2 linked regions of the Lepisosteus oculatus genome follow. The main gene of each other region encodes a partner of the protein of the gene in region 2 in a complex. Links are inferred from orthologs where the notes say so. Each region holds a gene or a part of one and is shown on either strand. Other genes may lie near its edges.

Region 1 (10,846 bases), on a different chromosome or scaffold from region 2:
TATTTCATAAACTGGACACAGTTATATTATATTAGCACACAGTTATGTTATATTAGCAGTTTTAAAAAAATGAATAAAAGTAAATAAAAAGTAAAAAGCATGAGTAATGGAAAATTAAGTGTGACGCCTCTGTTAGTTTATGTAATCATATGGAAATTGACATACTGATTAAGGCACTTTAGTCACAACCGTGAGCCTCTTTTTCTCATGCCTTTGCTTTTATTAACTTTAAATGGCTTAAAAATGACCTTGAAGTTCTAAATGATTTTTCTTAGCTGAGTGCTTCTATCTAATCATTAAAAGACCATGCAGTCTGCAATCTAATACTTGCTTTGAGTCTTTAAGGCAGCAGTGAACTAAAGAAAACTAAATCAAACCTTTAGAAAACAGCTTTATTTTATACTGTTTTTCACCATTGCAGGAAAAAGAGGACTTCTTACAACAGTATTTGAGTGGTGTTGTTTGAACCATGAAAAGGCATGACGTCTTAAATATTAAACATTTACTGTTTAATGAGATAAATGTGATAAACATACTTTATATTATAAAACAAAAGGTTGTTGCAGTTGAGAAAATTAATTTACTGGTTTGTGTATTGTCACTTTGAACTCATACAGTATAGGCTTGTACTGCATATTTTTGTTCTAGAAAAAAACATATGTAGCTTTGACAAAATTCTTTTTGGTCTCCATCAATAAAATGTGTAACTTCATTTATGTTTGATGTACCATTTCAGAATAAACTGCAAATCAAAACCTGATTTCCTGACTCTAAGAAAGAATCTGCTTTCTAACATATATACATTTTTTCAGTTTGCAGAAGGGATCATTAATAACCTGGTTTTCCTTCAAGGTCTTCAATGCCATCACTGACCAGTACTGGTTCAACCTTCCTTAGCATCAGAGTTCAAAAAGCACACACATTTGGACATGTGTGTGCTTTTTCTGTTCTGTGAACATTTGGACATTCTCTGTTCTGTGAAAGTTTGGACTTTCACTGTTCTGTGTTGTGCTACAGTATATTCTCCTCACCCTGCTTCTCTTCTGTATTCTCTGCTGTTACGTACCTTAACCAAGCAAGGACCCTGAAGGAAGCCAGCCACAAAGTATGCAATCTTAATATTAAAGATTATTTTTGTATCTTATTTCTGCTATGAAAACAAGTTTTACCTGTACATGTAGAATGGGAAATACAGGAATCATACCAGAAATGTAAATTTATTTCACAGTGAAAGACTAGATGAACAACCTAATCCAAAGCAAATTCAATTAAACCTACCAGAAAAGCAGGAAAGCTGAGACTGTGTGATTTTAAAAGGACAAAAATCTTAAATCATATTAAGTCTCTTACCATCGGCATTGAAGCAAAATATGGTTATGACATGAACAGTTTCTTACTGTAGTATGTAATGTAAATGAGGAACTCATGAAATCTGGTAGAAGTACTCAACTTACAGAACAATGCACAATAGACTGGGATGGTCATTAGTTGTTATCGGATTAAGATAATTTTTATTTGTCAGATGCATGATAACACAGAAGAACACAGAATATTTTTCAGCAAACCTGAAAAAGTTTGGTTTAATCCAGTGAAAAAAGTGCATAGTTTTGGCCACCACTGGAAGCCTAACAAGCTGTATGTTTCATCGCACTAGGTTGCAGATGCTCTCTGTCCTGGCCAAGTGCTTTTCACTGGTCTCTGCACCACATATGATACATGCCAACCCAAGTCAAGTGAGTTGGGCATCCATAGCACAACTGTCACACTCGCAAGAAAGCCATTCCATTGTTAGGTGAGCATCATAGGAATTAATGTGTCGTCCTGCTGGAGAGCTGTTACATGTATGTCAGGATGGTTGCACACCGCTTATAGACATAGTGATAAGGAACTGCTTTGAATGTTCAGATCTTTCTGAAACTTTCAATGGTTCAGCACATCTCTCCAGTACGTCACAACAGAAATGTACAGTATGCAACATGTGTGCATCTTCAGATGTGCAATGTGACCATCCAGTTCTATGTCATATTGAAATCCCTCAAACAGCACCACAACATAAATCAATGGAAAGTACATGTACATATTGGGACTTATTTTAAAATCCTGCAAATGTTTTCCATTATGCCCTGATTCCTTTATTTGGTGGAAATTAGAATATAGTCACAATCTTCTTTTATTTTTCCTTAATCACTGACACAGCACATACTATTCCAGACTAAACTGTTAAAGGACACCCTTTCCTCTCCCTTTTCTTTTCTATTTAGTGCTTACAACGTTGAAGATTTAGATTAATCTCTGTTTCACTAGAGACACCTTAACAAAAACAATGATTTCAAGGAAATCAAGAACCCTGATTTTGACTTGCAGGAGAGAATTTCATACTACCCAGTAGCAAGAGATAAACATAACATGTTGAAAGGTCATAATATGGTATTAAATGCATTATTTTTAAATATACCAAATTACCTCTTTATTGATGAATTACCAGACACCTATATCCAGAGAGGAGAGGCTTATAGAAGCTAGGCAAGCTTTGTGTCACAAATTACTTGCTGCAGAGGCTTTTACAATATGACTTTGGTTTTAACTTTCATCCAAAGGAACAATACATAATGATCCTAAGTAATGTAAGTTCATGTACAGTACTTTATCAAGTAACAGTAATGAGCCAGAACCTGAGCTTGGGATATGAACTTGAAATATCTCATAACCAGACCCTTAATCTTAATTACTTAACTAGCAAACCCTTGTCATTATCCCATTTTGGTTTTCAGTGCAAAGAGACCATTAGATTTATTTTTAATTTTTGGGGGGTTAAGTGTCTTTTCTGGGTTGTCCATGAGACAGTATAATTTCAACATTGAAGCTTGCAAACATTTTGCAGAATTAGGAAGTTTCTGTGAACATTTACTGGAAGAAATCTCATTAACGAACCACTTATTTATGTTTAGCGTGGTTTGTGCGCATTTCTAAAAAAAGAAATCAGCATGATGACTATAACCAGTTACTTTTGGGTGGAAGTATGATGACACATTGTGTCAACTGTCAATCATCAGGCAGAGACTCTCCGAAAAGCTGTTTGCTAACGAAGGACAATTGCTATAAAAGTCAATGTGCGAGATTGAAAAAGCAATGTGAGATTCTCATGTTGTGATCGGGCTCAGTAGGATTTTAAAGCATGAAACATCGCGCACAAAGTCAGATATTAATCTCCCTGCCCCAGTCGCCTGCATTATCTTGGCACAGACTGTTTCTTTGAAAAGAGCACACAACAGTGTTCCCCTTCCCTGAGGCCAGAGCCTTTCATTACTGGAGATTGTTAATGGTGTCAGAAGTCTGTGAAGATAATCTGTGATGGCAGAATAAATCCACTGAAAAAAATAATAGCAAAAGCCAGACACCTATTTATCTTATTTACTACCTTTCTCGACAAGTCCCCATTTTTCAGAGGTGCAATTATCATCAATATATAACCCATAAAATATATGCAGATAGTAAAAAATTTGAAGTATCTTGGAATTATGTGTACTACCTTGAGTATTCTCCATGTGGAAAAAGGTGTAGTATTTCCAAATCAGATTATATGTTAACAAAAAAATGATGTGGGGGGTCCTCACAGAAACAGACACAAAGCATGTACGATAGTGTTATATATAGAGCTCAGAAATTCATCAATGAAAATGTAGTTCGTACATTTTCTTTGTCAAATTAACCCCGAGACCAAAAAAAGGAATTTTTTAGATGGAATACACCAGAATGAAGTTTTAGTCAGTGGGTACACAGTTTTAGATAAAGCTAAGAGTTGGAAAATATTAACAAGGAACACAAAACAAATGTATTTCAAATGTAAAAATGTTTGACAGTTTGTGCATAAAAGTGAAGGAAGTGAATGAAGGAAAGGAGTATATTAAAACAGGTTTGTAAAGACTTCCATATGGCATTTGAGATTTCTGTTCTTCATGCTAATTTGCATTAATACATTTTGCAAACCAAAAATAATTGTAATATGATGATGGTAATCATACTTCTTATTATAGTCTCTTAAATGTGACAGGCTATGATAGGCTGAATATTTCCATCTCCATGACTGAAGTTCTAAAAGTTAAAAACTTCAACCCTTTAAATGGATTCAACTTTATTTAATATATACAGTACAATATACTGTATACGCTAGAAAATTTTAAAAAGTTTAATACTTATCTTTTAGACTTTCAATGACTCAGTGCATAAATTGCCTCTCAGAAGATAAATTTAAGGATATACAGTATAGCCCCCTTTAGTCTATGAAATGCAGAAAAATATTAGCAGATATCAAAGATAATAAATTAATTAAGTGCAGGAGAGAAAATCTTTTGTAATTTTTTTTTAAAAAAGAATGTGTAAATCATTTAAAAGTTACCGAGTAATGAAAATGAACTAATTGAAGAATGTAGAGTACAGTCATTTTAATTTCCAAATTGATTATAGTAGATTATAGTAGATTTAATTTCCAAGTAGATTATATTTGGGGAAAAAATAAAAAGAATAAGAGCTGCAAAGACACTACACTTTGAAGAAACTAACATTTTGGACAACATAAACTTTTAACTGGACTGTTTCAAAGAACGTGAACTAAGCCATGCAGATCTTTTTTAAATTTAACAACAGAAAACAAATTATATAAGGAATGTCTTAAAAGAAAAGGAGTAAATGAAACATTAAGAAATGATACGAGCAAGTGACCTGTAAAACCTACAGTCCAAGACAGGGAACGACAAGACAATAGAAAAAGAACACAAACATGAAAAAAAGATCTATTTTTGATCTTGGAAAATGCAAAGAAACAAAAATCCAAAAAATCATAAAATTATGCCCCTTTGAGAATGAGAGATACAAATGTTTAAATGGAAGACAAGAAAACTTCCACAAACTGAAAAGCACAGAGAGCAAGAGATCACTTCCAGGGGAAAAAAAAGAGAACCTGTCTCTTCAAAAGCAATTGATGCTAGCCCTCACCCCCAATCAGAAACAATCCCCAGAGCTGAAGCTGATGAAAACCCTGCCAATCCCTACCTCTCTGTGTTGAAATCTGATGAGTCCTTTGCTTTGGGAATCAGGATGTGGCAGTACTGTCCTGTCTTCTGCTCCTGAAGTAACTGGAGTGCTCCTGTCATGCTGCTCTCTTATATTGACACACCCCTCCCCTTAGTCCATCCTCTCTCATAGCCTCCCTCCCTCCTGCTCTCTTAGAGAAAGAGACAGCTTCCTGCGCAGGAGGCAAGAGAGACAGACAGATGGACACATTAAGTGACTCAAAGACAGCATACTACCAACCTGCGTCACTTGCCTCTCATTTCCGGGAATGGACGAGGTGCAAAAAAATAAAATAAATTCCCAGCATTGCCGCACCCATCCCCCATCTCTGTAACAGTCTTTGTGGGTCTCTGTTTCTCTCAACACTAAAGTCAAAACCTACTCTCATGCATAGTTGTCTTTTTTAAAAGGATCATGTCTTATGGGTAACTGGGCTCTTCCCCAGTTAGGTTTGGGGGACTCCTCCAGTCTCAACTGCAATTCCTTTAAAACATTCTGTGCAGATGATGCAGAAGGACTTAATTATTAAATATACTTTGTATTTGTTGCAGGTATCTAATTCAGAAATAATAACATTTAAATCTTGAAATTACCTCTTCCATCAAAATCTTTTGGGTTCATTTTAATTATTTCTGCCTCAATATGTATTTATTCATTTGCTGAGCTCATGTTAATTAGAGACACAGATGTGGTTTCTTCAACATCATTCCTAACTTTAGCAAAGAATGATAAATTAAATTAGGGGGTGAATATTAATGTATTTATATGCTTAGAAAACATTCAATAGCAACACTTGTGCAATCTGCTATACATACCAGTACACAGAACCTGCTCAACTCCAGCGTCAGTGTATCCCAGATTTGCCAGACTGATTTCACAGCACTGGAATCCTGAAGTACTAAATATATGGATTTTGCATCCTAATGTCCATGTGGATGTCCTCCGGGTGCTCCAGTTTCCTCCCACAGTCCAAAGACTAGCATTTTAATTGGTTTCTTGGAAAGCTGGGCCTAGATACTGTATGTATGTGTCTGCCCTGAAATGGACTGGCATTCTGTCCAGTGGTGTATCCTGCCTTGTGCCCATTGCTTGCTGAGATAGATAAGAGATCTTATTAGATCACTTTATTGGCCATATACAATTTCTTGTATTAAGAGTTTGTCTTTTCACATACCCGAACTTGCTCTCCATGAGACACACACAGACAGGGTGGGGTGGGGTAGGATGAGTACCATCAGTACTCAAGTTCAGTAAAGTCTAGGAAATATTCTGTGGCCATTCTATGTACAGAAAATGTTGCTTGGCTTACACCCAGTTCTGTTCCTTTTCCTTTTTTTTAGGAGTGCTGTAATCTACGGACAAGCTCTGGCACTCAGTAATCAGGCAACCAGTCAGTACTCATCAGTAATCAGTTGAAGACCTCAGATACAGGTGAGCCAGAAAGCAGGTTCAGTCGCTTGTCTTTAAATTCTTTATCAGCTCCATACAGACTTGGCAGGAGCACTGCAATTCAGTGTCTGCTTAAGAACTTGGAAAGTTTTTTAGGATCTGGACTTGATGAAAGATTCTGTACATAGATACACGTTTTATTCATTCACCCAAAGCTAATGTCATCCCAAATTCCTTTCCTGTTCACCCAAAAATAAATAGCCAGGAAATGACAAGGCACTATAGTATCTTATGCATAAAGAAAATATGTCATTTTGTTTTTTGCATCTTAGGTTTAAAGTGGTATGGTTTTATTTTAACTCAATTCTGAACTTAAATAGTTGCATGAAACTGGAGTTATTAAATCACAAATAGAACCAGACTGGATTTCATAACCATTTTGCTACATTCTCATTCAAAAATGTAATAGTGAATGTTTTTTTTTTGTAATATAAGCATTAAATAAGTTGACTCTAAATACATTTTCAGCTATCAAAACCGGAAAAGCCCTACATATCCCAAACAAATAAGTAAGAAATATTTTTTCTCATTAAAAGGATGCTTCCAGAAATATAAGTTAAAGCAATGATAATACCTCACTTGTTAGGAGAGATGCAATTTCACGGAGAGGTGCAGTCTGATTGATGGCTCAGCTACTGGAACAGACCTGTGGGAGTTATAGCAGTGGGTAGGGGAAGCGTGGTTCCATGGAACACTGATTTAAGAGAGCAAACTATTGGACAAGCTAGCTGGTACATTTTGCGTCAGTCTCTCATTTACTTATTTCATGTAAAATATTTCTTGTCTTCCGGTAATTCAATATCACACCTTGAGGTCACAAGATCCTCTAGTTTTAATTCCATCTGAGCTCTCATTGACTTAATTGCTGTAATTTCGCAACCTCCTCCTCTTCAACCAATAACCTTCAAACAATGCATCCCAACCCATAATATAATCCTCCACAAAATGTATCACATAAAAAATAAAATAATTATACACTACCTCAAACAATGCATTAATGGAATTGTGACCTTCCCCACCCAAATCTAGAAAATCCACTGTCCTTTTTGACAAAATAAAAATACTGTACCGCCTACACACATTTCTTTAATGTATAAAGCAGAAACTCACTACTTACCTTTTAGAAAATAATTACTCTTAGGAGAACAGAAAAAAACAATAAATCCTTTGGTTCGAAAGGTAAAATATGTGCAATTGAAAATCTATCTGAAATCATTCAAGCCTAAGGGAAAAAAACAATGGAGTTGCCTCATATTTGGTAAATATGAACTCCTCCACACTCAAGAGCTCAAAGTAATTCAGCCCTTCAGGATAATAAAGCTATATGTCAATGGTCAGTACAAAAATCATATTGCTTTGCTTAACTATGTCAAATTTCCTTTAAATGCCTTGTGAGTTATAATTAGTATTCTGAAACAAAAAATATTATTTATTGTTCTTTTATCAGTATTCTTTTCATTTTCTATACAAGTCACAGAAAAAAAACAAAGTTTCTTAGCATGTCTTTTAAAATAAGCTAATATGCATGACCTCCTCAAATTATTATACACATTATATTTTATCGTTGTTATCTCCAAATTAATTTTTCAGGGGCAATGCTCCATTATAAGGCTTTGAATGAGCAACTTTCAAAACTATGTTAACGGTTTTTAAATTCTTTCATTATTTTATTTAGAGTACCAGTGGAATAAAACTAATGTACTGTACTTGAGGTAGAAGAAATAATGTCTTTAAGTGACTTTCTGACAAGTGAGAGAATTTCTTTTTGACTGAACTAGGAAAATTGTACTGAGTTTTCTCTTGTAGCAGAGATACTCCATACAGAATGGAATAATGAGGAAAGGATCTTTCCCTGGTACTCTTAATATTGCCAACCAGCTATATTAAATAACAACAGAATGTAATTTAAGAGAAGAAATCCAAGTTCCCATATGAATTGAGGCAAACTCTGCCACATCTTTCAGGACCTTATGCAGACAACACAATCCGGAAGGGAGAGAGAAAACATAGGGAAAAAGACTAGGTACTAGGTTAGGGGCTGGAAGAAGAACAGGGGGCGTGTCCAAGGTGCGCTGGTGTTCGGGGAGGGGCGTGTGTGTGTCCAGGGCAAACAAATCCAAAGGAGTCTGTAAGATAAACCAGGGAAAGTCAATGTCCAAATCCGGGTGATCCATCCTGACACAGACAAACGGAGTTAAAAGCCGGAGCGGGATCTGTGAAGGGTCGGGGGAATAAAAGGGGGGTAACGGGGCCGGACGCTCCCAGTCCCGGACCCAGATGGTCAGGATGCCGTTCTGAAGCCTATGCCGTTGAGCAGCTCCTGGACTCGCTGGTAGGCGGGCTTCCGGGCATCCATCGTCCAAAGCTGAGCCTAGATTGGCAGGAACATCTGGCTTTAATAGCACGGGGCCAGGAACCGAAGGCAGGTGCAGGAGATTACGAATAAAACAAGGAAGGGCTAGAGCGTCCTTAAGAGGAGGGGTTTACAATTGTGACAAAAACTAAATTGTAGTAATACAATATTTCTGATTTTTATAAGTTACAATCCTGTAACTCTCAATAATTATGCATACAGTACATAGTAAATCTTTGACCCATTCCAAAGGAGGATTTGACAAATGAGGGGATTTAGTTTTCTAATGGCCTTTCATTCTCCCCTGGTTTGACCATTTCTGTCCATATACATCTAAGAAGGTCCAAGAACTGAAAATAATGCATTCTGAAAACTGTAGATCTCAGAATAGCCTGATTTAGCTGTTGTACCCTTAGTTGAGTCAGTAATGAAACCATACTAATACACAAGTACAAGTCACTTAATGCTGTTGTGTTTATATTATATCCATTTTGAGCCCATTGTTTGGCCAAATGTATACAATAAGGCTACTTTTTAAAATTGATGTAGTTCTGCATTAATAATAACTTATAATTGCTGAATTGGATGCCTAACTGTTGATATGTAGAGATTAGAAATGTAAATAATAAAGAGATTCTAACTATAATTAAGAATGAACTCCTTATATTTTAGATGCTGTTGTCTTGCTCAGTTTAAAACACTGGGAATTTCAGTATTTTCAGAATTTTTACAGTTGTCAGTTGGTCAGAGACCTCTAAGGACTCAGCAATCTGGCTATTCTACAAAAATTAGTATGAATAATGGCTTTCATACAACTTGCTCTGTAAATTAAAGCTTGTGAATGTTGTTGTTTAAAAGCTTAAAGTAAAGTCATGTCATATTAGTTTTAATGGTAAAAACAAAAATGAGGAGCACAATTCATTAAGCAAACATAATGGAAAAAATATGGTTATAATATTAATTTTAGAAATATAATAAGCAAGTAACTTAAATGATGAAGTGAAACAATTTAACAGTGAGTATAATTATCTAGTTTCAATCTGAAAACTAGCACTAGGGTACTCCTGGATGGGTGAACTGGTAAAATATGAAATTGAATATAATTCAGAGCTCTGCCATTTTGAAAAATGAACTGCAGTTCAGATGTACAGTAGGCCCTAAAATGCACACATCACTGTTCTGAATATTGGCTCTTTCATAATCGATTTTACTTGCTAGTTGTCCACAAAGCTGGATTGTGGTTAAGAGCATTCAAACTAAATTTGCCATAATTTTGTGAATTCTACAGCCTGTACTCAGCTTCTACGTTGGTAACTAGTCAGACATGACCCTGCGCTGTATCAGTGCCCTCCATCAGCCTGCTATTATTGCATTGGATATGTACAGTAGATAGAGAGCAAGAATCTGGAGGCAGTGTGTATTTTGTAGGAGATACAAACGCTGTCTACATTTCTCCCCTGCCAGTTCAAAGGAAGCTGCAACACAAGATTATTTACAATTGGTAAATGAAAAACAGGTGATGTATAAACAGGGTCCTGCTTTTAAAAATGAAACGGCCCATTCATAAAAAGAAAATTTTTAGATATGATATATTTAGGCTAGATTTGTTGCAGATTTAATCATTTCAAGTCATATGCATCGCATCTGGTTCTTTTTTAATCTTTGTTATTCAATTAATTTTTCATTACAAGTAATTCAAATTGACACATGGGCTCCTCTTGAATTTTTTTTTCGGTGTCTAATTAGGGTTTTATAATTTCTCTCTAATGGCTTCAATTCAAAATCATCTGTTCTTAGTCACAGTAATTATGTGTCTATATTGCAGGGGGTCAAACAAATTGATGAGTATTGCAATTACCTAAAAAGAATGTTTTATTTATTTTTACTTCAAATTATTATTTTAATCATTTCAGTTTGTGTTGATTTCACTTTAACGCGTTTGTTTGAATTTTCTTAATTACATGCATTGCTCTT
Region 2 (11,831 bases):
GAAGGTATCCATGATGTTGCACCCACTGACATCATCTGTAGACCTCTCAGGTGTTTCAGAGCACTGGAAATATTGGCTAAGAAAGGTGTCAAATAATTCTGAGTATTCCAAAATTAAAATTATTTAATTATACCCCCTGAAGTAAAAATGTACTGTAACAAAGAGCATATAAAAAAGAGACACAACCAAATGTGAAAAGCTGGTATACTATAATTTTTTCACATCCAAAGCACATTGCTGCCTTGGCAACCAGTTAATTTCTTATTGAATAATTGAACAAGCAGTTCTTTTATAGTCTTAGTTTTACACTTTTGATTTTATACATATATATTATAAAGATTCATGGATCTTTCGGTAGACAACTTAATGGATCACAATTACAGTTTTCAAGTCATGCCAGAGGCCACTGTAATATATGCATTGTTTCCAGGAATCTGCTTGCCTCTAAGGCCATCTGTAGAGTGGGTGTGGAGTGAACTGTTTTATAGGGTTGTGCAGATGATTTTTTGCAAAAAGCTGGCAAAATCTAAATACAGAAAGAAACAGTGCTGATACCACCTGCCAAGAGGGAAATGTCTGCTGTTTTGTGAATCTTTCTCCAACCTTGGTATGCACAATTTCATAAAACCATTTTTTCATCTCTCTCCCTCACTTTTGTGCCTCTAGGGTTTGTAAATATAATTAAATACAATAAATACAGAGATCACCTAATTTGAGAAAGCAAAGCTGTTTTGTGAGAGTAAGCAACCCTGGAAATGCAAATAGAAATGAGGCCTGAATTAAAATAACACAGCTGCCATTTCACCAGAACCAAAATTATTCAACTCATACAAAGTCTAGCTGGCTGTAAGAAAATGAACAAATTTAGCCTTCATAGCAATAATGAAGATCACCCACAAGTTATTGTTTGAGACCTTGCAATTCCTGAATAGCCCATTACTCAAATTCACATCTCATATGAAAACATGCCCCATTTCATATTCAGCTTTGGAGCATAAACATCAAAGTAAAAAAAGTACAGCTGCTGCACTGTTTACAACTGCCAAGCTTCCTTACACTTGCTATGCCTATAAATAATCCTTCCTCTCCATTCTTTTGGGAAATGAACAGCAATGAACATTTCCCTTTTATTTTATTAGACCCTAGTGCTACTTTGTAGCACAACTACTGTTATCTTTTCCAACAATCACCTGTGGTGATCCATATTCAAGAAGCAATGCAAAAGCCTACAGTACAAGCCACGCATTCATGTATGTATTCAGGATAAAGAACGTTTTTGAAAAAACAAGTAAGGCCATACCATTACATCTTGAATGATACTGGAAGTATCTTAAGAATTGAATCACAACTAGAGGACTAAACAACACAAAATACCGATGTGACCTATAAGATGAAGATAATACTGACATTCATTTCTGTCCTTCAAGAAAGCCTTCAGAGAGGTATTGTTTTCCTATGAATCAGATTCCAAATAAGCCTTTACACATGAGGCTAAAGAATTTCAAATCTTTCTGCCCTAATGTACAGTACAATTTGCTCCATTATCTCTGTCTTCAAACAGAATCCAGCCAAAATTCCTAAATTATGCTAAAGCAAAAAAAATAAAACACTTAATATACAGTACCTTGTTCATATTTATTTTGCCTTTCTGGACTTGCAAGTTTATTATAAGAGTTTGTTTCAGAATATCAAAATCAGATTTTACAATATCTGCAAGTAAAAAGATGTGACAACCAGCCTAAGAGTCTTTAATCATGTTTAACAGTAACATTTTGTAAAATTGTTAATATTTTAAACCTTTCATCAAAATACACCTTTGTTATCTTCATTCTTCTGATTTGGTAGTTTTGAAGGCACACAATATCTAACTTAGCAAAAAATATTAGCAGAAAAAAAAAATCAGAATCTGGATCCTTAATACACCTATACCCTAAGGTTGTTTTGTTTCAAAATTTTAAACAATAGATGTCGAACACGGCATACTGAATAAAGATAAATATTTTGGATGGGTGTGTTTGTACATAAAAATAAGAGTTAATAAATTTACTTTTATACATTCCTACTGTCTTATCATATTAAGTATTATCATTTTTTTAAAAAAGATAAATGGTTCCACCTCCATTTCACTGTTCCTTAATAACAGATATTCAAATGTGTTTGTAGTACTGACAATTATATATCAGAACTCACATATTGGTCAGAGTATGCTTTGGCACTGAACATTTCTAAGACTATGATAGCAGTGTTAAACTGATGTAATTCTGTACAATGCCATTTGTTACTCAATAAATGTAAGTGTTCCACTGTTAGTGTTTGTCCTGAGCCAGTGGCATTCCATACTTCACAGACTGTTCTCTTAAATTGTAAAATTGCATAACCCCATGAAGAGCTGCTATCTGACTTAGCACTAGACACATTTTTATACCAGATAGCACTGATCATGGCTTCTACTGGGTTTCATACATGTCCTAGATAAATATATATAGAGGACATCTCTCTATATTCAGTACATCACACACCAGAGCTATTCAACCTGCAGTCTATCCAAGCCAGTCCTTTGAATAATTTTGCAGCAAGCAGCTGCTCACTTCAGTAATTAGTAAGTAGTAAGTGGGATCAATATAGTAACTGAGGTTCTGGTTGCACTAGAGTACAACAGAGAAGTGAATCAGAGGGGCTGTATATTACGCGGTTCAGCTATGGATTGTTAGAAATTTCTATTTCCTATTTGTATTTTGCTATGAAAATATTTCTAAAACCAAAATGACCACCATAAAAACAAATGCCATTGTGGTTATACTTCACACTGAATTTCTCAAAAAGATGTCACATCAAAAACATAATGTTTTCAGCTTTTCTCAATGTCTTCAAAACATTTGCTATTGACTGATATTTGGAAATTGAATAAAGTATAAGTGAACTTTAAGTTCCAAACCAACCTGGAGTATCTTTGGTAACATTAACCAGAAATAGAATAGAAGCACTGACATTGGGTGAGTTTCGAGGAAGATTGTTAGATACCTGTGAACATCTAGTCAGCATTCACTCACATTCAAGGCTCACCTCAGCAGATGATCTGCTGTTTTTGCCTGGGCCTGTATTTATAAGATGACCAGCAAGCTAAGGAAATACAATTCAGTACCCTATATCAACAACAACGAAGCACAAGAAAATTAATTATGCTGCCATGACTTAACATAGCTCAAGTTAAACTATTTTATTGGACCACGTAGATTTGTTAACAGTGAGTGTGAACATGAAAAGCTGCATTGGCATTGGAGTTTGAACAAAATGCTTTAAACAGTTGAAAAATAGAAATATGTTTTGGCCTGATGAGCTCAGTCTGCTCAGATCACGAGATATAAAGCTGAAGTTGTAACTGAAATATAATCACTTGGTTGCAAACAATTCAATGGGCTTTATTGGCAATAATGACTGATACATTACAGTTCTGCCAAGGCACAACGACAGACAACAATATACAGTATTAACCACTCCAGAGAATACTGTATACTGTATATGGAACAGAACAATCACTGAAAAAAAAGAGCAGTCTGTTGTTTAATTTCTCTTTCTGCTTATTATGCTTTAATTTGCAGTTTTTTATTCATATTAAAAAAAGTTTAAAGTTTAAAAATGTGTGGTGTGAAAATACACATACAGTACTGTTGTTACAACAACACTATTGTTCAATTGCTTCACGTTTTGTGTACACAGCAATCACGTTTTCAAGGAAAGCTCATGTTTAATAATCAGAAAAATCCTCTAAAACTTTTCTTTTTACTTTAAGATCTCAATACATACGTTTTATAAGCGCGATCAAAGGCCGTTTTCCATCGTTGTTTTCGGGGCATTTCAGTAACCTTTTAGAGGTCGTCATGCAATGACACACATCACAACTTACTCAAGCAGATTTCTTTTTGCTGATATTGGTTTTGACTGATTAATTCGCTTGGAACAGATAAACAAAAAATAATCAGTCGAACACGTCAATGTGATCGAAACAACACCGCGTATCCGAGGACTTTCATAATATGGCATTATGCGGAATTTTAAACTTTTTTAAACTTAAAAGAGATACAGGAGCACAGCCTTTCATTCCACCCACATTCCAAAAGAGGGAGCAAAAGAGCCAATAAAATAACTTAAATTTTAAAAAGCATACATTATAAAACGTTTAAGGCCAACAACGCGCAGCAAATGTTTAAAGTTTAAATAAAACATCTACTGTATGTTCGAGAGTAATTTGCACGTTAGAACGTGTCTTACTTACCTGATAATGACGTACATGACCAGACAATTTCCCACCAGCCCAACTACACAGACGATCATGTACAGTACAACAATTGTAATCTTCACGCCAATGGGCAGTACCCCCTCAAAGGTGTAGTTATAAGCACTGAAGTTCATGTTAAAAGCAGAGTCGTTGAGCAATCGGCTTAGACTGGGGTCTCTAAAACCACCTGGTGCATTTGGGAAATCCATGATGAACTGCTAACCTGTTTTTAAAGAAAACAAAAGGGATACATTCCTGTCACATTTATCTCTAGACTCGGGTCCTGTTTACAGACTCTTTGATTACAGTTGAATACACCCAGCTTTATGAATTATTTGCCTCAATCACTTTTACTAAGAAAGTATGTTACATAAGAATTTGACGTCAGGTCACTTTGCACCCTAGTAATTACGTTGCATATATCAAAGGCTCATAATTGATTTTTACAGGCAACATTACAGTCAATACATATTTAATCAAAACGACTAATCACTTGTCAAGTAACAGAAAAAATCCCCCAGCACGAAAGCTAAACCCCAGTTCCTTTGCGACCCATGCAAATCATTCAGTATAGTTTCAGGTACATACCGGTATATATTGCGGACTCCACCTCTCCTTCAATATCAGCTATTTTCTCTTTTTTTGTCTCCCAAGATGAATGTCAAAGGTTCCGGTTCAGTAGATTGTTTTTTTTCCCCCTTCTTTTTAAATGTCCTCTCAGTGTTCTGTTTGCAATTCTCAAAGCCTGTTCAGGTTACTGTAGACCTCTAAGATGAACGAAACATTTTTTTTTTACATGTGAGGGGGGAGGTGTGGTAGTGTGCTTGCTGATAGATAATGCTCAATTTAAAGCGGATGTTTTTTTTTTCAGCAGGCAAAGCTGGAAACCCCCCTTCTTCTTCGTTTGTTCTGCAATCCAGATCTGATTAAGCTCACGCAGTACTGTTGGAAGCTTTACTGTGTGTTAAGGGAGACTGTTATTCTTCGCTAGTCTTAAAATACAACGCGTCTTCATGGCTTTCAGTCGAGTACAGACATCTAGTCGGTAGACTGAGCGCCCTGGTACCTCTGTGTGTGTGTCAGTGCCTCCTGTATTTTTTCCCTTCTTTTTTCTGTTTCCGTATGCGGAGAAATCAAAACTTCTGAGGTCGAACTCAATTTGTCTCCAATCACGCACTCAGAAGCTACTAGCACTGCTACTGACTGTCTTGGGTGTTTATGCTTTACAGCATCGAGTTGCTGGGCTCCGTGCCCTAACTGCATTCGGGCTAGACTCCCTTTTTAAACAAAATTAAATTGGATGCACACTATGTTGTAAACGATAAAAAAAACGATACGATTAAGAGTAATGCAGAGAAAAGCGTAAAGCGAAGCTTTATATAAAATTACACAACTTGTGTTTCAGATATACAGTACGGCATGCAGAAACTTGGAGAGAACAGCCCAACAGACGAAAGTGTACTACAAACACAATCTGTCTCTTAAAGGGGATGTAAATTATGTGTATACTGTATGTACTGTATGTTTTTGGCTGTACTTTACTAAGGTTTTTTTTTTCATCGTGGAAACGTGTCATGAAAGCATTTTACTAGATGAATCAAACACAATGTAATAACACTACTCAAACCCATGCATGTACATACAGTACAGTATATGCTGTACAATAGTATTGCAGTGGTATAAAGAAATGGCTATCAAATGGTTTTCAATGAGACAGTGGATTATGTACAGTAAGTAGTTATTAGGATGGGACAACTAACAACTTATGTTTTCATATAAATACCAAACAGGAAACATTTTTCAGCAAGTGGCTGTTCATGATTCAATCTTGGCGAATAGAGAAAGCCATATGAATAGCCCATGAATACTGTACATAATGACTTAATACATCAACAGTACATTTTGCATTAACTCCATTGAAAAGCACGTGCTGTATTACTTAATAAGTAATCACATTAAAATAACAGGCGCTTATTATGAATTGATGCGTCATGGCACAGCTACTGTAATTACTTTGACCAGAAAGCTATTGTCCTGTGGTTGGACTGGCTACAGTTAGTCGCATATTTTTACATAGCTACTGTTTTCATTATTCTCATTATTTTAATACAGGTCCGTCTTAGCCCTATAGCACGTTTCTGTCTTCTTTCCAAGGACCACAAAATATTTTTATATTGAAAAAGATTTAAGAAAGAAACATTGAGCTTTGAAAATGTGGCGTTGCATGAGTGTAAGGATACACGTCATGTTCACTACGCGCGTGCACATCTTAAATACCAGCGCATTGTAGTCATGCCCCTCTCGTCCTTTCTCATTCCCAGCTCTCTCGGTTACTGTCTGCAGGTGGAGCTATCGTTCAAAATTATGACATTTTCCTATCAATCGCACTACTGTATTACAGTACATATAGCGGAGCATCATTACTACTCGTATCAGTCCTAAATGTTTATTTCCAGTTTGTATTTTTTTGAAAAAGTTATTGAAATGATCGAAAATACAGTATCCCGATGCAATTATTCTTAATCATTAATCCTTTACAAGAAGGCATGTCAATCTGCCGCATAGAGCTGCGTGCTTGTGCGAGTTTCAAAGGCAAATCTAGAGCCTAATCCCACGCCGAAAAGTAAAAGTCTGTTGTTTATGTAAGATAAAATGTCTTTGCCATCACAACCCTGTTTGAATAATTCATATTCAAACAGCTTTTTGGAGAATTTAATTTCTTATTGTTTTTTTTTATTGGAGCGTTAAACACATGGAGCAAAACACTAGACAATTGTTCATTATCACAAAACTCTAAAAAGGTTTAAAAAATCGTTTTTATAGTATAGCCGTAGATCTGCTATAGAAGGTCATTTGAACTGATATGCTCTTAAATCATTTTTTAATTAAAATAAATTTAAAATGAGGAAAGTACCAAATAATAATATCGCAACATGCTACTGTACAATAAAACCTTCCTAGCTGAAAGCCATTTTGAATCTAAGAAGCACTTGTGCTGTCAAGGCTGTAGCTGTTGACCGCTGTCCATGGTGCTGAGCTGAGAGGTTGTGGATTTCACCGTCTCTTTCCGATCAGCGATGGCACTGCGGGAGAAAGCTCCAGCCTCGTTCCTTGGCGCTTTCCAGAACAATTCTTGGTGTAAGATATACTTTAATTCTTGCCATTCTGGAAAAAAAATGATGGCCTCCAGCCTAATCTATCGCTGAGTTCGCTGCGCTAACACCTATCCTCCAATCCGTTCCCTACAAAACCTTTAACACGACTTTTGCTCTGGCGTTACCATAGTGCCTGCAAAGCATCAATTCCTTTGTAATGAGAGCCGCGAGACAAACCAGGCTTTCTGCAAGCAAACCCAGTAGGTCCATTTCTTACAATTTCACATTTGGTTAAAATTAATTATAAAAAATGAAAATATACAAAAGCTACCATCCAAATACTGTAGCATATTGGCTTAACTTTAACTATGAAACGGGAAATAAAAAAAAAGTTAGTTTTTTTTTCCAATTTAATTGATGCCTCTGATAGAACTGGATTTTAATTCAGTCACACAAGACTTTGATTTACACAAAGATGCCAACAAAGTCCACTAATGGAGTCTGGTACAGATGTCTCTTAAAGCTGTTAAATTAAGTGATAGTGTACTGAGGCTTGTGTAGAAATAATTGGAATGTGAGCTTGACATTTTGTAAGGATGTTGGGAAATGTTAATTGGGTTGCTGTAGCTGTCAGCCTTGTTACTATGGAAAGCCACTGGAACTCTGATGCTTGTAATCAAATCTGTCTGCAGGAGCTTCAGTACTGTCATTGACTACATGTTTTTTAAAAGTCAATTACAATTCACAGAAATAATAGAATTTAATAATGAATAGCTACATTAATAAAATAACCACTATTTACTGGATGAGTACAAATAAAATAAAGTTCAGTGTAGCACTGCATTAATTTAATATTCATCTAACAATGCTTTCTGAAATATTCTAGAAGCTTGAGTTCAATATAAAAAGAAAAAAATCAGTGGCGTGTAGAGTTCTTAAAATGGACAGCCTCCTTTCACTCCTCTCCACCTCTCAGCTCAAATTCCTTTCACTTTACTGCCTCCCTTCTTCCCCCTGCGTAAAACACTTTGTCAGTCTGGGATAGACTCTTTCTTCTTAAGCATGAATACTTTTTCATGACAAAAATGTATGAATATTTAAGATTATTTTGAAAAACAAGTGCTGTAACCTTAATTGAGAGGCTTTTGAAGAATTTACAGTATATACAGTACCACTTGATTCAACAACAGAAAAGCTTCACAAGTCTTCATCTGTTCCACGTTGCAGACAAGGTTTTCTTCGTTTCCCTTCTGCTTTTGAATCCTTTAATCTGTCTTCAGAAAGCTACAGCTGTCGCACGTGTATGACCCATCCATCCGTTATCAGAAAGCCAATTTTATTTTGCCTGGTAAAGACTGTGACTCCCAGAATCTATTCCAGAAGCACTGTTCACAAGGCAGGAATATACAGCATTGCAGGGCACACACACACAGTTTAGAGACATCAGTTAACCAAGCCAGCAAATTGTGAGAGGAGAGAGGAAAGCAGAGCACCTGGAGACAACCCAACACAGTAACTGTAAGACAGAATCGGTAACCATCATGCACAATACTGCATTATCTTGAACATGTCTCATATAATTCTGCTTCTTCCATGTTTTTGATGTATATACTGTATATATAGTATATGTCCCTGGTACAGTACTCAAAATATAGATGGGTTATATACGATGCCTTTTAGACATATTCATGCCTTCCAATGATGGCCCATATTTTTGTATTACAAATGATGTACTTGACAAGTGATAAGACTCCTATTTAAAGTGAGTATTTTTAATCCAAACTGGAGAACTCAAACTGAACATACGCTGTATGGATGGATGAAATAAGTTACATGTCAGTTAAAACTGCCACAGATTAATCAGAAAATGAAATGAATATATTTTTTATTCCCAATACTTGGTGAAAGCACCTTCGAAAGTTACAGCTGCAAGGCTTTTGGATAAAGCTCTACCAACCATCAGCTACTACTACTCAAGAACATTGACTTTCTGTGTTTCTTTTATTTCTTTTTTTTGTTTGTTTCTTGGTTAAGCCAAGCCAGCGTAGTGCTGGCCTAGTGCTTTGGGTTGTTAGCTGGTGAAAGGTGAATTTCCATCCCAGTTTATGTCTAAAGCAGCGAAAACTGGTTTTGTTCAAAGATGTGCCTGTGATTTGCTCCATTCTTTTACTCCTCTTAACTTAACTTGACTTACCTCCCTTGTTCCTGCTGATGAGAAGCAACCCCATAACGTAATGCTCCCAACATAATAGCATGTCAGTTTCCAAAAACATTCATACAATCTTCATTTGCATTCATCAGTCTCCATTAGTAAACCCAGATAGGTGGCTGATCAAATATAGAATTATTAGATGGATTTCTCTGTTACAATTTGATAACAGCATCAATCAACATTATTTTCTATGTACTCTTCTGACATCTATCTCTTCTGGACCATACAGGACAGCTTGTGGGCTATTTTGTCCTGATTTGGCACAACATACTTTTGCTGAGACTGAACAAGGCCGAGCCTGATCTGTTAGAGTTGATCAAATTAATCATAATTTTATATTCCTTCAAGGACTTTCAAAACCATCTCTACTCTTACATTTCCACATGAATAAAACTAAATAACCAAAGCAGAATTTTTTAATCCAAATCTTACTTTACATTATAAATCTTTTTGGAAGTTTCATGTGTGTGCTATTGATATAAACCCTCCCCAAAAAACTTCCCTTACTCAATATACAGAATATGCTTGCAATTTTCAATCCAGGTTTTAACACTGTTACATCCTTTGTTATGATGACAACTGTGCTGTCATGTTCAGCTCTATCCTCTTTACTCAGACCAGATGAAAAGAAATACATACCACAGTCCATTTGTTTAATACAGATATTTATTTTCAAAGAATGTACTCCTGGATAATGATGGCTTTCTAAGAGCATGCAATCACTAAGAATTTAGAATATGAATGCTCAGGAGACAGTACTGCTTTATGACTTTGAATATTCGTAACTGTGATTTTCAAAGAATAACTTTGGGATTGGGAATGGTTTAACTATTAAAGACACCTGTCCAGAGCTCACACTGAGCTCTTCTGTCAAGACACCAACAGCTTGAACCTTGGCTATTTCATTATGTGATTGTCAAGTGCCTGGTTTGTATAGATCCCAGTGCCCTTAGTTATTCTTGACTTGCCAGGGATCTACCGTGATCCCTGTGACCACAGCACCTGTGAGTTTGTAATTTTAACAACAAGGCCAACATTTAATGTTAATTAGAACAATGCAGTTTTAAAGGGAGTTGTGCACAATGAACCCATCGCTTCAGTGATAGCAGGAAGTCTAGATGACGGTAATTAGCAATCACACCTTAAAATGTAAAACAAATGTTTAAGAAAGTATATGAAATAAATACATTTTCAGTAACTTGATATTATTTCTTGTGACATTACTGAAAGGTTTGGGCTACCTTGATTTTGTACTGTACTGTATGTAGGATTTACACTGGGGAGGTCTGTCATTGTGTCTGTCAAGCCACAGAGAAGCAGGCAGAGGTTAATTCCACTGTAAATGAAAACAGAAATCACAAGTTGGTCTATTCAGTATGTAAAGTTGTTTCTTAAAGATTTAAGTAAAAGTCCTGTGATGGACAGTATTTAAAAACAGTCTTACATAATACTTCCTGTTCTACCTTAATCATGTCAAAACAGAATCATTAAAATATAAAAATGTTTGCAACAACATATTTTAAAATGATACTAAGAAAAATATATATCCTGCGTATACTTATAAGGGTTGTGAGTCTAATGGAATTGATGGAATTAATAAATAAGCTGTGAGTCACTACAAAGGGTAAATAAAAGTTTCTTGGAAATAAAAATATTATTTTCTTATAACAGGAAGCAGAGAGTTTGTACATCCACTCAATAAAACTGATTATTGGAGTTTAATCTTTAAATGTCATAATGTAAATTTGTCTGGTAAATCGAGAAGGCATTAATGCAGCGTCTTCTTAATCATGCAAATCTGACTGCATATCTATTACATTTTTTAAAAGCTGAATGAACAGCCAATTAGCTTTGATCATACTGATCCTAAGGACAAAATGACAAATATTTTTTTAATACTAAACTGAGTACATACAGTACAAAACAAGAACAAAATCTATTTTGATAATGTCAGAATTACTTTGAATGCCAAGCCTCAAACATTTGAATTGTGATTATCATACCTTAGTATTTTGTATTATGTTCCCTGGTATTCATACTTAGTAATGTGCCATCAAAGTATGAGTTTTTTAATAGTATTTTAATCATGTTTGTTGAGCTCTAAATATTTTTCATGTCACTTACTTCTAAAATATGAAAATTTAACCTGGTTTTCTTTTAAGGACAAATAATAAAAAAATCATAATAGCAGCCAAAGAAGAAAGCCTTTCAAAATTGTGAATATAGAAACCATGACAATCGTTGTACT

What was found.
Region 1: the proteins of oprl1 (region 2) and prepronociceptin are in contact, whole or in part, in a cryo-EM structure (PDB 8F7X), measured with the Homo sapiens proteins. The link is inferred for Lepisosteus oculatus from reciprocal best matches to the Homo sapiens genes OPRL1 and PNOC. Residues at the interface, in NP_000904.1 of Homo sapiens: Gln107, Asp110, Gly114, Phe115, Trp116, Val126, Ile127, Asp130, Tyr131, Met134, Gln192, Glu194, Ile198, Glu199, Cys200, Leu201, Val202, Ile219, Val279, Gln280, Val283, Gln286, Gln291, Pro292, Ser293, Val298, Leu301, Arg302, Thr305, Tyr309; in NP_006219.1 of Homo sapiens: Phe130, Gly131, Gly132, Phe133, Thr134, Gly135, Ala136, Arg137, Lys138, Ser139, Ala140, Arg141, Lys142, Leu143.

What each region holds. Positions count from the first base shown.
Region 1 is NC_090697.1:60,106,999-60,117,844, forward strand, and holds the start of prepronociceptin, read right to left. Parts: upstream 5,135-10,846; 5' UTR 5,050-5,134; intron 1-5,049.
Region 2 is NC_090711.1:5,177,791-5,189,621, reverse strand, and holds the start of oprl1 (nociceptin receptor), read right to left. Parts: upstream 5,644-11,831; 5' UTR 4,865-5,643; intron 4,500-4,864; 5' UTR 4,486-4,499; coding exon 4,274-4,485; intron 1-4,273.